Linked DNA regions of Schizosaccharomyces pombe. The gene in region 2 interacts genetically with the main gene of each other region. Each region holds a gene or a part of one and is shown on either strand. Other genes may lie near its edges.

The links.
Region 1: mutations in SPOM_SPCC63.06 (region 2) and pof9 together harm fitness more than expected from each alone (negative genetic interaction), as found in Schizosaccharomyces pombe (one large-scale study listed by BioGRID).
Region 3: mutations in SPOM_SPCC63.06 (region 2) and sqs2 together harm fitness more than expected from each alone (negative genetic interaction), as found in Schizosaccharomyces pombe (one large-scale study listed by BioGRID).

The regions. Positions count from the first base shown.
Region 1 is NC_003423.3:1,869,018-1,874,383, reverse strand, and holds pof9 (F-box protein Pof9), read right to left. Parts: upstream 2,552-5,366; 5' UTR 2,538-2,551; coding exon 2,173-2,537; exon of another isoform or gene 2,103-2,172; coding exon 1,064-2,102; downstream 1-1,063. Other genes in the region: phosphoserine phosphatase Ser2, read right to left, coding at 3,083-3,181, 3,253-4,050; SPOM_SPBC3H7.08C (uncharacterized protein), read right to left, coding at 4,541-4,782, 4,943-4,994, 5,064-5,132.
Region 2 is NC_003421.2:843,889-848,750, reverse strand, and holds SPOM_SPCC63.06 (WD repeat-containing protein), read right to left. Parts: upstream 2,841-4,862; 5' UTR 2,828-2,840; coding exon 1,832-2,827; 3' UTR 1,399-1,831; downstream 1-1,398. Other genes in the region: thg1 (tRNA guanylyltransferase), read right to left, coding at 1-117; tap42 (TAP42-like family protein), read right to left, coding at 3,334-4,305; spore wall alpha-1,4-glucan synthase, meiotic Mok14, read right to left, coding at 4,680-4,862.
Region 3 is NC_003421.2:1,789,748-1,794,593, forward strand, and holds sqs2 (G-patch type RNA-binding protein), read right to left. Parts: upstream 2,328-4,846; 5' UTR 2,163-2,327; coding exon 1,599-2,162; 3' UTR 1,064-1,598; downstream 1-1,063. Other genes in the region: CDP-diacylglycerol-serine O-phosphatidyltransferase Pps1, read left to right, coding at 58-289, 573-936, 1,020-1,024; hnt1 (adenosine 5'-monophosphoramidase), read right to left, coding at 3,090-3,491; protein Cox18, read right to left, coding at 4,019-4,627.

The sequences.
Region 1 (5,366 bases), on a different chromosome or scaffold from region 2:
AAGAAAAGCAAAAAAGTAAGAAAGAAAATTCGCAGTTAAAACAAAAGTGAAGAAAAAGAACAGATAGGGTAAGACAATACAAGCAACACTAGACGAGACAAGACAAGACAAGGCGAAACAATAAGAAAAGGCAAACCACACTCTATATAACTATGAGACTTTATTTACAATCAATCAGTCAACCGACAAAAATATGAAAAAAAGACAATAATGATAAAAGAAAATGACAAAATGCTTATTGAAAGAAACAAAGAACAACGATGATGATGATGATGATGATGAAGGCAAAGAAAAAAAAGTGTTATAATATAGTTGTTAACAAAAATAAATCAGACACTGTGGAATTACAAATAAATCAGTAATACTTGCTAATTGCATGAAAAGGAAAATAGCATCCCGTAATCTTCAATTGCCCTTCAATCAATCCACGATTTTTTAAATCTGGAAATTTTCGCACAACAGATTTCAGGTACAAGGTAGTCAACCCAACAAGAAAAAATCGTCTCTTAAGATCGATTTCTGCCTGAAAATACCGGTTTTCTCGACACCTGGATCTGTAAACAAAACCCCCAAGTTAGGGTCGCCAGAAAAAAATGGGGTGGTTAGGAATATTACAAACCACCAACGCAAACGACAAATAGAGAGCAAGAGCCCAACAAATTTTGACCACCGAGGATTTAATATGAAAATCGGTAACCTTCCTTACAGTCCAAATCAATTAAAAAAAATAATAATGTTTGGTAAAAACTCGTCGTAGTAGCACAGTAACTTAATTCACAGGGGTCAGGAATATAAATTGGTCAATGTGTGTACTTTATGTAATTGCGATACAGGAAGAAGGAAAAAAAATTTTCTCACTTATTTAATCACCGTTGTGTTTTCCTTGTGCTGCTTTTTTTTATAATTGGCTTACCTAGAGGAATTAGTAAAAATAGAGATAAATTCGGAAGTCCGAGGTGGCCGAGATATTTATTTATTTCACTTACTTAGCGGACAAAATAAAATCCTTCTCTAGTGCGCACGCGGAAATTAGCTTACCAAGCAAAGTTGATCACTATTTCACCTAGCCGTCCCTTTCCAAAGTCCGAGTCGCAGGGGCAGCTAAAAAGCGCAACGCTGGAACTCTGGATGGTCGGATGATAGAAAAAGTTGTAATTGGAGGCACATTGACTTCGGGTAAAACAGATTCCGAAATGGCGAGAGCAGCACTTTGCCATCCGCCGGCTGCAACTGAATAGCAAGTTCCTGAAAAGTGAATTTGATGTGGAATGGAAACGATGTTGCGTGCGGTGCGTGGATCAGAAACAATGCTGGGATCAGATGTCTGTTCTTGCAAATGAAGAGAACCCAAACCTAAACACCCACAATAACGTAATTCAACACCCCACGACCATATGGAATGATCGCTTGTTAAGTAAAGATGATGATGATCGCCATGCGCCAATTGCTTAATTCCTCGGTTCTGGAGAAAGTCGTGGATAACCGGGTCATCATCGACCTGCTTGGTATTAGCATGACCCATGTAAACAGTATTGCCATCGTCCGATAAACATGTGAAAGTTTCAAAGCTGCCTGCTAAATGCCAACCTTGATGGGGGTCGTGCGAAGCGAACCTCTTCAATTCTCTTCCTAGCGTGTGTTGTGTAGCTTGGTCCAGGTCTAAACGAAACACGGCGCCTTTTTTCTGAGGTGATGCGACAGTATACACTAGGAATCCTGCGCAGTGAACATAATCGTTCAGCACGAATTCCTTCATCGATGCCTCTGGCTGGAAAAGTTGCGCTTCACTTTCTCGTCCAGTGTGCCAGACAAGAAAGCCAATGCCCGGCACATACGCCGAATGCGAGTCCCAACCTGATTTAAAATTAGCAATTCTTCCGCGATAGGCTGATAGCATATTTTGTTCATCTGTCAAGCAAATTCGTGTTTTTAGAGATACTTGATACAAGTGTCCCGTCTCACCGAGTGCAAGACAAAACTCTCGACCAGCATGGATTTTCACAATTGGCTCTAAATCTCTCATCAATTCGGGCCCAACATTGTTTGGTACCCCCGTAACATATAAATTTCCGTTTTCATTTAATAAATACATCCCATAACCTCTAAATTCCGCATAGGGAATAGTTAGTCATTGTAGTGCAGTCAAATAAATTCCTGTATCTATGCGCTTACCCAACTTGAACCTGAATAGTAGAACGAACGTCCTTCCCAGTCAATGCACCAGGACGATCTCGAGGATACTGATTTGTATTGACGACGCGGCCCAAATAGTTTCTTATCTGTTGCCCCCATGAGTAAGCGTATCCTCGGTCTTTCCATACAGCATAGGGTCTTTTGTAATTATCATCAACAACTGGGACTACATTGGTGAGACCTTGGACCCGTGCACAAAATCGATGCCAAATTGTTTTGTCGTCAAAAACATACGAAAGTGACTTGCATGTTTCTGACAAATGAACTATATCTTTATAATCAAGATATGTACTAATTTCTAGCAATATATCGTAAGAAAGCTCCAGGAATGGTGATTTAGCCATAATGAATCTCGCATGGGTAGTAGTATATGAATACCTCTGAATATATACAAGGGAAACGGTGTTGAAATACGTCAAAAGCACATGTTTTCTGCAACTCTTAATAACTAGATACAATTGTATTATTTACAATTAATAAATGATAATAAAGAAAGGTCTATGAAACGAAGGTGTAGTCATTGCACGAATCAATTTCAAAGTCTATCAGCATAACGAAGCAGATTTAAGAGTAAATGATCGGCTTTATAAAAACCAATTGAGTAATTCTTGTCTGTTTTAAAGAAGAAAGCTTCTGAACTGCCCCTTTTTTTTTAAGCATTCATTGCACACCCTTTCCAATGAAGCATTGATCATACCAAAATTGTAAATTAAGGAAAAAGAAAAATAAGAGTATCAAAAATAAAGAAGTAGGGTATATAAAAGACGGCTCCTACTACAGAAAAAAAGACCACGCGCACAAGTAAAATATTGCTTTATAAAAACCAAGCCACAGTAGCTCAGAGTTCTTGACAGCGCCTTGCGATTGAAAAATTCTTGGAAATTCTAAATTAATTTTTGTTTTCCAATAGCTTTTTTTGTTGTTGCTCATCAATACCCAAGAGGTAAAGAGCGTTTTGCAAAGATGGAAGATTGATTTTCGAATCAGCCTAATTAAAAAAAAAAATCGAGTTAGTAAGATCATTAAAAACATAAATTTGTAAAAAAATTTCGAACATACCAATAATTGAACTTTGGGTTTAGCTTTGAACGCAATTCCTAAACCGGATTCGGCCATCATGACCAAATCGTTAGCTCCGTCCCCAACAGCCATCGTTTCGAGCTTATTTAAACCCAACTCTTCCCTCTTTTCACGCAAAATGGAAGCTTTTCGTTGTCCATCTACAATTGCACCTTGAACTTTTCCAGTGAGGAATTTACCATCATCGGAAAATTCAAGTACATTGGCATATGCATAGTCCAAGTCCAGTTGTCCCTTGACATATTCAGCCATTGGAACAAATCCACCACTAGCGACAACAAGAGTCGCACCCATTTGCTTAAGGCAATGACAAAGCTGTTTAGCTCCTGGAGTGAAAGTAATTTTGCCAATGACTTTATTTATGACATCGACGCTCAACCCTTGTAGTAGAGAAACGCGACGACGAAGTGATTCTTGAAAGTCAATTTCCCCATTCATTGCAAGAGATGTAATCGTAGCAACCTCTTTCTGGATGCCTGCTTCTGCCGCGAGCTCGTCAATACACTCTTGTTGAATCAACGTCGAGTCCATGTCAAATACTACAAGCTTCTTTTTAGTGGAAAATGTTGCTTCACTCAAGCAATTACAGTCTACATTCTCAGTAGCAGAAATGCGGTTACAAGCGTCTTTAGCATCTTCAAACGTTCCTTTAAGTTGGCCTGATACTAAAGTCCACTGTTCCCCCAGAGAACGAGTCTTCCCATCTCTAAACAAGGAGGAAATCTGTTCAAGCACATTTGGACGATTTGAGGAAACAACTATGGCTGCGTTGACCATGCTTATTAAAAGGTATGAGTGGGTTTGCTAAATTTTCTAAGTTGAAAAGCGTTGTTTTCGGCAAGTCCCATTTACTAATTACTCGGCTATTGATTAAGCTTAACGTTAAACGACAACAAGTACTAGGTCAATTTAAGTTATTTGAAAATCTCAAACAAGCTTATTTTTTGTTATTGTTTACAAATTTATCATTATCTTCAAAATGCTGTATAAATTGTGAAGTTGGTAAAGTGGTGCCTAAACTCCGTTTTCAAACACAGGTTAATAAGCAAATATTTTTTTTATACATTAAAGCAATAAAGCAAGAAATCATAACTAAGAAGATGTTTGGAAATATTGCAATATATCAGGGCAAATATTCCAAAAATGAGAGCCTACCATAAAGTAGAGAGTGAGATATTTGTAAAGTGAAAAAGCACTAAAAAAATATTTGGCAATGTAATAATTGTTCTCTTTCATTCCTAAAAGGTTATACACAATTTAATGTGCTTTACTTAGAGAATCGCTCAAGTACCTCTTCTGATACACCTTTAACGGGAAAAGTGCTGTATTGAATAGCAGAAGGTGCCTTTCGAGGTTCTTTACTCCTATCTCCTCGAGGATAATACTTGTAGCTATAATCAAGACTCTCATCACTTTTTCCGCTACTGCTTTTGGTGTCTTCCCAGGGGTGAGCATTTTTTGAAGGAATTCGGACTTGATCTTCATGTTGTACCAACAAGCCCCGCTGTCCTAAAAAACTGTTAGCTACAATCATTTAATTTAAACAATCATATGTAAATGCGCTTGTAAAATAAATATTCTGTAGGAAAATTTTAACAGAATATTAAAATTGAGTATAATGTTTCATTAACTGCGCTGATTTCTAATTTTCTACTAATTTTTAACATACCAAGCATATAACCAGCAACTCCAAAGGTATAAGTCATGACACACCAAGTTATCTAACAGCAAACTGATCAGCTTACGAAATAATCAACTCAATATATTTTTCAAAAAAAAATTGAGCTTACAAATAGTTCTGGATATTCTCTTGACCAGCGAACCAGGCGGTTCGACATAATTGAGCGCATAATTGACATGATGGTTCCAAAAATAAAAAGTTCTTGTTCGCTTGAATAGTTTGATTAATTGTTTCGAGATGGAAAGGATCTAAAATCCTTTTATGATTGTAAATGTCAAAATGAAATACGTAGGCGAACATTCGCAACATTTATGACAAGCATCAATATTTATGGGGATCGCCACCTGACGCAGACAAGACGTAGCAACGGTGCGCATTAAGAGATTCAAATTTGAATGGATAATAATATCAT
Region 2 (4,862 bases):
TTTCTTTGTGAACTTATGGAATCCTTTGCCATCAATTCGTATTACGATATAAGTCTCAGGTAGTAAACGATCCAATCTTTCGTATTGCTTCACATATTCAAACCTTGACTTGGCCATCCTTTCATAACAAATTATATGTATAATATAATGTAGCCCCGACCTTTTTCCATGTAATTTCCTCAAAAAGCCCACCGAAAATGCTTCGTTTGAAAATGTGAATTTCCTAACCAACCTTGAATCATAATTAGCGATAGATTATCGTTCGTTATAATTTTTAGCATATTGGATGGCAAAAAATGCCATGTCTCGTAATTTATTTTTTTTATTAAGATAATGTTATATAACTTGAAATATGCTAACAGTGGATGAAAAGAAGCGATTATATATTTAATAAAAAAAAAAATTACAGGCTAGCTTATTAAGAAAGGTGATATATCTTTACCAGCGCATTGCTAGTCTTGTTTACAACCACAATCGGCTTGCTACTGACTAAGGATGATCTTTTCCGCATTTCAATAGAAATCTTAGAGAACACGTATAGTATTCATTTATTCAGATTTGATCTGCTGCTTAATCATAACAGTTAAACTTATATTCATATTTACTATATAGTGAATAGTAAAGTATTAGTTAACTTGGATTGCTAGTGAGGTTAAGGCATATCTCCTTAGGGAACATTATATCCATTCAAAAATTATAAATTGCTAGTATGAAAATAAAGCCTTTAAGGAATCAAAAAATTTATGGAAACATTATTTTAGTACTTTTCATTTGCTCAATTAGTACCGCATTTCCAATTTAAACTTGAGTACTAATAAAGAAGCGTATACAACCATCTCCATCTGCAACAATTACATGCAAGCAGCAATGTGAAAGAGTACTTTTCTACAACTAAAGTACATCCTTGTTAAATGAATAAAAGGTCTTCATTGCAATCTCAAGGAGAGTCGTTATAAAAATAAAAAATTCGACACCAGCAGGATTTGAACCTGCGCGCGGAGACCGCAACAGATTTCTAGTCTGTCCCTTTAACCACTCAGGCATAGTGTCCTGGACGATATTACTTTAAAATATGCTCAATGTATTCAGTAAACAGTGTTTGATAAACAGAATTAAATCTTCTTCGATATACATTGAATGTACTTGCAAATATGCTTGGAATAATGTTGCTAAAACGAACGTATTACTAACAAGAAAGCCACAATTGATTATTTTCACCATAAGATGGTAATAGTTCATCGTTCAATTGGCTACGATGACTTTTGCTTCAACATGAAAGCGATAATATGAGTAACGTTGACTGTAAAGGATTTAAAAGAGCACAAAATACAGTGAGATTGGAATGATAAGAATACTTTGCATACTCATGTCTTACATTTTATCGACTCAATACATATTCTTTACATATACCTCGTAAGGTTTTTTATTGTTTCCTTACACTAGAACAATTCGTGTACTAATTTTTTTGTTTTCTTAATAAAACTCGTTATTAAAAAAAAAAAAATAAATAAAATGCCGGTATGGGCCTAAACAGACCAAACAACAAAAACAGAGATAGCCATTGTACCTGTATGAAACAAAATTCTAAGAAAAAAGGAGAGATTTTTTTTAAGATTTTAAAAGGAGAGTTCTTGCAAACAACGTTAAACAAAATGAAATGAAGTGGCTTTCATCTTCATAAACAACGTGATGAACAAATGATCATCTCAGCACCGTTTCCCTTGGAATGAGAGAGCTAGTTATATTAAATAACTTCGAATTTTTCCATCCTTTAACTAAGAAATGCGCTCGTGCATACAACTCTAACAACATTTATAACAATTCAAAATGACTAGACTCTAAAAGCTTGAAGTAATCCATCTTCACCACCGCTATAGTAAACATCGTTCTTTACATCAAAACTGATGGCGCGGCAAATTTCTTCCGAGGCTCTTTCCAATTTGGTGGGTTCTTTTTTCAGCTCACCTGTACTCGTATCCACAAGAACGAACTTAGTTTCATGGTTCGAAAAATCACCAAAAGCCAACGCACAAAACTGTTTGTCACTAGTCGAAACTTCGTTAATCACATAGCTACATGAAAGTTCTGCACGCAAGTCGTCAATACTAAATAACTCGTTACTGCTCCACGTTTTCTCGTCTTTATCACGTTTAAGCTTGTACATGGCATAAGACTCCATGTGAGACAATACCATCACTCGTTTCTTAGAAACAAATTTAGCCAAATGAATTGAGGCCCCGTGATTAATCACATGTAAAAGAGGATCTTCTTCGGGATCAGTCGAGTCCTCTTCCTTAGTAGTATCTAGTAAACTCACCAGACCGTCTACTGACCCAGTAAGAAGCAACTCATTGTCTTTTGGATGAAATTGCAAATGAGTAATATCGTCATTATGTGCATCGTTCCATTGTCTAATTAACTTTTGTTCACTTCTAACGTCCCACAATTGTACAGAAGCCAACGAACGAGTTAACTCTGAACCCGTTGCAAACTGGTTCTTTTTATTCAAGGCGATGCAGGTAAAGGGGGTAGATTGTTGAGTCCACGATCGAACTGCAGATTTCGCCTGCGAACGAATATCCCACAAATGTATCTCTCCTTCGGAGCCACAAGTTATTACGCCGTTCAACTGATCGCAACTAATGATTCCAGTAATATTCGTGTGCGCTTTAGGCACTTTAAAAATTTCAAGTAAGGTTCCCTTGTCAAAACAGCTCCACGAACCAGTAGAGTAGCTCACCACCACATTGTCCTTCAACTGTTCAATGTCATAAATAAAACATTCATCTTCATTGCTCACTCGAACAGACGAGCTTGCAGTAACCATATTATAAGGAGCCAAGTGACCTTTGACTTCACGAACCAACTAAAAAAATTTCAGACGGTCATGTTCGTTAATCAAGAATACAGCACTGCAGTATAAAAGCGTATTCTGTATGAAATAATATGCATTTCAATTGTCATAAAAACATCTGTAAAGTATTTTTATAGGTTGATTGAAAGGTTTCTACTTCAAGGTACTAATTTTGAAGCCCATCTTTCCAATACTTCGAATGCTTTCTGCAGAAAAGACTTTCAGTGGTTAACATGAGAGAAATAGGTTAAGTTAAATCGTCAAAACAGTTTTAAAATAAAAGGGTTCGTTTTTTATTTGTAAAATAGAAAAAACAAATCTGTAATTTAATAAGTCGATTTTCCATAAACTGAATTTAGTTATGAAGTTCACATCATATCTTAGACTCATGAAATAGAGAGAAACATCAAGGAAACCAGCAAATTCTGGCTTATTACTAGAAAGCCATGATACGTTAATCTATCAGGGAGTTAAATCATTTAACCACGATTTACCATAGTATTTCCACTACCGCGAGGATTGGCTTCTTTAAACTCATCCCAGTAACGATCTTTCATTGTTTTTGCATCCAATTTTTCATAATCATCTTCATCATCGGAGTCTGACTTAGGGGGGTTATCTTTTTGGCTTATTATGTTACCACGTTTCATCTCCTCATCTAAATACTCATCAACTGTCATGGTGGGTAGATTATAGCCAAATCCAAAAACATTTTTTCGAGTCTCATTTCGATCCGATACAATGGTAAATGGTTGAAGGGGCCGATTATTTTTGTCCAGAATCTTGTCCCTGGTATTTAAGTCCAAACGCCAAGAAGATCCTTCTTTTTGCTTTCGTTCCTCTCTCCTAAGAGTCTCCTCATCTTTCTCTGGACTGTCTTCTGATTTCATTAATTCTGCTTGTGCTCGCTTTAGTAAATCAATTTCCATTTCTATATGAGGAAGGGAGTCCAATGTATCTTCAACAGCAATTTGTAATTTAGTGAGCCAAAATTTCCTCTCCTGCTCTTCATTGGTTTCCGAGTCCTTAGACAAAGCCTTTAACTCCTTCTCAAGGTTTTGACGCATTCTGTATCTGGCGATTTTTAGAGTCCTTGTATCAGCCTCAGTTTTTGGTTTTTCATCTTGCATTGGTTTTAGTCCGTAATCATCACAAATGCTAAGAAATGTTTCATAATGAGTTTTTGCATACTGGACGGCTTTTAGTCGATCTCCTTTGGTCCATTGTTCCACACATTTGGCAAGTTCATAATCAATCATTAAATATCGTAATTCGCTGGTTTTTATTTCATCTACTTCTTCGTTTGAAGAAAAAATTCGTAACTGGAGAACAAGTTTCAAACATTTTTCGTAGCCTTCCACAATTTCAGATCTTGTTTTTTCATCTGTGCTTGATGAATCCTTCAGTTTCTCAGTTTCTTCCCATAACTCTCTCAACGACTTCGATTCCATGTCCTTTAATCCTCAAAACGTTTGAAGTAAATAAAAATATTCGTATGTAAAGCTATATTCTCAAATCCGAAGAATTCCTCAAAAAGTAGTGTGTTCTGGTACCATGGAAATAATATGCGGTTGTTAATAACTCATATGCTAATTAAAATTTAAATCGCAACTTGATAAAATTAGTGCATAAAATGAATTATTTAATAAAATCAACCTGTAAATTGATTAACCCGTATCAATATATCTTGCATTATAAATTAAATTACACGCTTTTCTCTACTCTTAAAAATCACGGTAAAGTACAATAACATGACGTTTATTAATTTGAAAAAAAATCATAAAAAAGACTAAAAACGATCTCAATAAAAGAAATAGTTAAATCATCACGGTCTGCTAATGTTTTCTCTATGATAGCACCGAAGATACATGATACATAGAGCTACATTCAAGATCAGGCAAATCCAAAACGGAGCATTAGCCACTGGCTTTGCACGGTCTACTGGAGTGTATCCAGTCAAATCTGGAAAAACATTAGCTGGTCCAGTCTTTGTTGGCGACACAAAGCG
Region 3 (4,846 bases), 950 kb from region 2:
TGCGAAAGGACTTTGCAAAAGGATTCATTACTTGAAATACTAACTAGAGGATTGTAGAGCCCTCCACCTTGCAGACTTGATTACTTTAATGAACGGGTTTTGCGGTGTCATGAGTATATTTTCAAGTTTACGTTACTGCCTAAGCGGACAGCAATCAGCTTTCCATTTATGGAATGCAATGTACTTTATGCCATTTGCGTTGTTTTTTGACTTTTTGGATGGTAAAGTGGCTCGTTGGCGTGGGAAATCTTCCTTAATGGGTCAGGAATTGGATAGTCTTGCTGATCTGGTATGTATAACTTCTCAAATCTGTTCCGAGACTATTTTCACATTGGTTGCTTTGACATGATAAAAACACGAGGAACATGATAAGAGGCTTCTTTGGTTGAATTTTTTCTTCATTTTAGCTAAGTCGAGCTTTTTTTTTTTGCTTCTCGTTTTTTACATTATGTCGGTTTGTTCAATGAGTCTGAATTTTTCTCAATAAACATGCGATTGCGTATAATTCTTGATTATATATATTTTTTCTCTCTCTTATCCGGTCTTTTTATATCATTATACTAACAAAATAGATTTCATTTGGCGTATCTCCAGCCGTCTTTGCCTTTTGTTGTGGATTCCAAACGTTCCTTGATACCGTTATACTTTCCCTTTTTGTTTTGTGTGGTCTAACTAGATTGGCTCGTTTTAATGTTTCTGTCAATTCCATTCCTAAAGATGGATCTGGCAAGTCTCAGTTTTTCGAAGGAACGCCCATTCCTACCACCCTCTCCTTAGTAACCGTTTGCGGAGTTTGTATCTTAAAGGGAAAGACTCATGAAAATCTACCTTGGGGTGAGTGGTGTGGAAACACACCTTTTGCATTTCACCCGCTTGTGGTTTTGTTTGTGTTGAGTGGAATTGCTATGACTAGTAAGAAACTCAAAGTTCCAAAAAGTACGTTTCTATTACATTCGCTCAAATATGTTTAGAATGCTCTTTTTTTTTATTTTGTTTATATTAACTGATCGATTTTTTAGTTTGATCAACTGATGCTTTTATTCAATAGAATCCAAATGAAACTTTACAGTACAGCGATCTGGGTATACACAGTTTTTTTCACTTTTTGCTTTTGATGTTACTCGCATGCGAAGCCTTTTCCTCTCTTAAATTTATAATCCTTACTGAATCTCTTCTCATATCCTGTTTTTCCTTTTTTCTTCCATTTCGAAGATAAGTCTGTCCTTCACCTATTCGACTTAACCATTTTTAACGTAAATGCACTCATCATTGTTCATTCCTTCCCCCTTTTCCAAATATGTATTTCCGTCCTTTTAACAATTAGAAGCTGTTTTTCAACTTACCAGTTTTCTATTGCTCTCTTTATGAAAAACTTATGAAATTGAATTATTTCAAGTGATTGTACCCTCAACGGTAAAATATAGTAAAATTCCTTTAATTATTATTTCTTATATAGTCATCATGATGAGCAACCAAAAATAAAATTCTTTATAAAAAAGAAACTTTCCCAAAATGATGGTGAAAAGTAATTTTTCCTTCTAAATAAATAATGTTTTGTAAATATACACTATGAGGATTTAAAATCTCCTCGTCAAAAACTAATGAAGACCCTGTTTATTATTTTTTACAACAGCCACAACCGGATCAACCATTCCTTGGTTTTCAGAACCAAGTCCCTTCCCCCGAGACCAACCCATCATTTCTAAAAGTTGTTTTCCTTTGCCATTATTTATAGCGGGAGCGCTAGAACCAACAACATGACCGTCCATACGCTTTTTTGTATTGGTTGACACACTTCCTTCCTGTATTTGCACGCGTTTCCTTTTTTTCAAACCTTTAGGAGTCATTTCAACAAGTTTGGATTTTCTTTTCTTTGACAATTTCACGTCAGTTTGAAGTGCAAAATGACGATCATACTCAATCATGCTCAACGAAGTCTCTTCTTCCGCAATGTGGCTCATATAATCTAGTTCCACTTCTTTTCTCCTTTCACCAAACAGCATTTCATATTTTTCTAAAGCATCCTCATTGCTCAAGTGCTTCGATGGCTTCTTTTTTGGTTGAACAATCTTTGGCTTCCTTGGAGGAGGTTTTGGAGATGCCTCTACATTTTCCCATTGAGAAGATGTAATAAAAGAACCGTCTTCCACAATAATTGCCATTGTATTAATAAATGTTCGAAAATTCAGCAAATTTACAAAAACCAGCCTGAGTTGGCATTGGTGCTATAAAGAATGCACAACCCAAGAAACTTAAATTTTATGAGATCAAGGATAATAATAGGGATTTATTAAAATCAAGCCTGACTATTCCACAAATTCGCTCTCAATTATAAAAGTTTTGTTCGTGCAGTATAGCTTGCTACTATAAACCAAGTGTGACTTGGTTGATGAATAATTGTTACTTTGGGTAAGTAAATACTATCGCAGTGGTTTTGATCAATTATTAGCAATACCCTGATAGAAAGGCTCAAATATAATTTTGCATGTTAAAAATACTAGAATTCTTCAATGCTGTCCGGCAAAAATTTCTTCAAACAATCAAGTTTTAAGTTGACGCCGCAAGATGTCTTTCATTTTCTTAAAAGAAAAAAAACAAGCTAGGTCATCAATAAAATAATATGATACTGGAAATAAACATTCTCTGATGCACATTTACTAATCTTTCCGTCTGCAAGTTTCATAACCTCATATTAGGAAACCAACTACCCTGCATGGATTAATATTTAGACCTTAGACTACAATTTGAACAATGTTCTTCAAACACACCTTTTCTAATCACTAGAATAACAGGTCCAAACATTTGTACCATACATTCCGTATGCACACTACTAAACAAAATCCCTTTATTCACCTTAAACTATGCAAAGATAACAGCAACTACTTACATTGGAAAGGTAAAACAAGTAGGTAAAAGTGTATAAAACAAACTTTTCATTTCTAAAAAACATAAACGTCAAACAACACCCAATAACGACTTTCATGAAAAACACAAGCCTATTCTACAAAGACAGGGCTCATGTTTTCCTTATAGTTCTCGCCAAGTCAAGGAAAGTTTCGATTCAACGAGACACACAGAACAAAAAAAAACTATTTAATCTTAGAGCTGATTTCCTCGCCCAATGCCTTTATTTCTTCAGGAGAAATAGGATAAGAGGGCCAGCCTACTCCTAATCCATATTCTTCGTTAGGCTTGGGAATGATATGGAAATGAACATGATCCACAAATTGGTGAGCAATGCGACCATTGTTTTGAAGTACATTGTAATTTTCAGGACCAATAGCCTTTGTCACCTTTTTGACAAGGGGAAGAATATCTGCACAAGACTCATCGCTCAGTTCATGCATCTTAGCGGCGTGCTCCTTGGGAATAACTAGTGCATGTCCCTTAGATGTAGGAGCAATATCAAGGAAAGCCAAAGACAAGGCTGTTTCAGCTAGTTTCACACAAGGAATATCTCCTTTAACAATTTTACAAAATATGCAGCTCATAGTGGTGGTTAGCTTAAGTCAAGGATGTGCAAGTGGGAAAATTATCGAAATTTACCGTAGTTAACGTAATAAACAGTGTGAATAAGTCAAATGTTTTTAAAAAAAATGTAAATTTTAAAAACGACTTACATGAAATCAATAGTTAAATTCTTCCTTAAAAATGGAGTAATCGGCGAGGTTGCATTTCTCAAAAAGCTTTGCAGGTAGTCATCCTTGAAATGCCAAACTCATGTCACACGAACAAGCCTGTAATACTAATGATATTTATTAAATATTATTTGGCATTTTAATAATAAAGTATCTTATTTTTCATTACTAATTCAGTCAGTTTTTGCCATGATCAGATGTTTTGTGACAAAAGATTTTCCTTTTGGTAGGCCATAACAAATCAAAAACCTAGCTTTACCATAAGAATGTAGGTAATTATGTACGGAAAGAAAGAAGGAATAATATGTGAGTCTCGACTAGTCAGGTTTGATTTTGTTAAGACCTTTCAGAACCAAACATGTAGAATTACTCTTGCTCTTCTATAACAGCTTTCTCAATGCAACGTTTTGTACCAAAGAGTAAATTGCAGAGGTAGTCCAGTATAAAGACAATGCCGTAGAAGTCTTAAATGCCATAAAAGATACAAAGAAAGCAGACATTATACCAGCGGTATTGAATATTTTCAGCAATCGAGAATCCGAAGGTCGCTTCAATATAGACATGTTTGTTAAATAAGTAACAGCAAGGACCGCAGGTAGTACACCGTGAGGATCTGGTAATGTGAGATCGGTAAACCAAAGCATACCCTCTGTTGACATACTCTCGGGACATACATCGACTGCCTGTCTTAACTGATAAGATGCAAACGCGAATAAAGGTAGTTGAGTAATAGGCAATGCGTAAATCATGAGAGGATGACAATTGAACCTTTTGTACAGCTTTTTTCGTACAGTACGGAAATCGGTATTTGTTCGGCAACGTTTCTTTGCTTCTTTGATCAGTGGTTGCACTTGCACAAACCGACGAGCCGTTTTAAGGCTTGCAATAGCAATTGGCAATGTAATAGTAGAACGAAGGAATATAGCCATTGCCGGAATTTCATAGCACCATGGCATGTACGAGTGAACGCCTATTAATGTTTGAAGCATATTGACCTTTTTAATAAATTATATTTAAATGCGTAAGAAAAAAATTTTGTAGTTCAGAAAAATATGGGTGTACATGAAAGCAGAAGATGTAATATCATACACGAGATGAGGTTTGGGAAGGTGGGCAAATTTCGAGTTTGCTGGTACTAACTTCTAGCCAAGAAAAAATAGTTGTATTTCATGTTTAGTATTTTAAGAATGCTTCAAATTTATAGCATG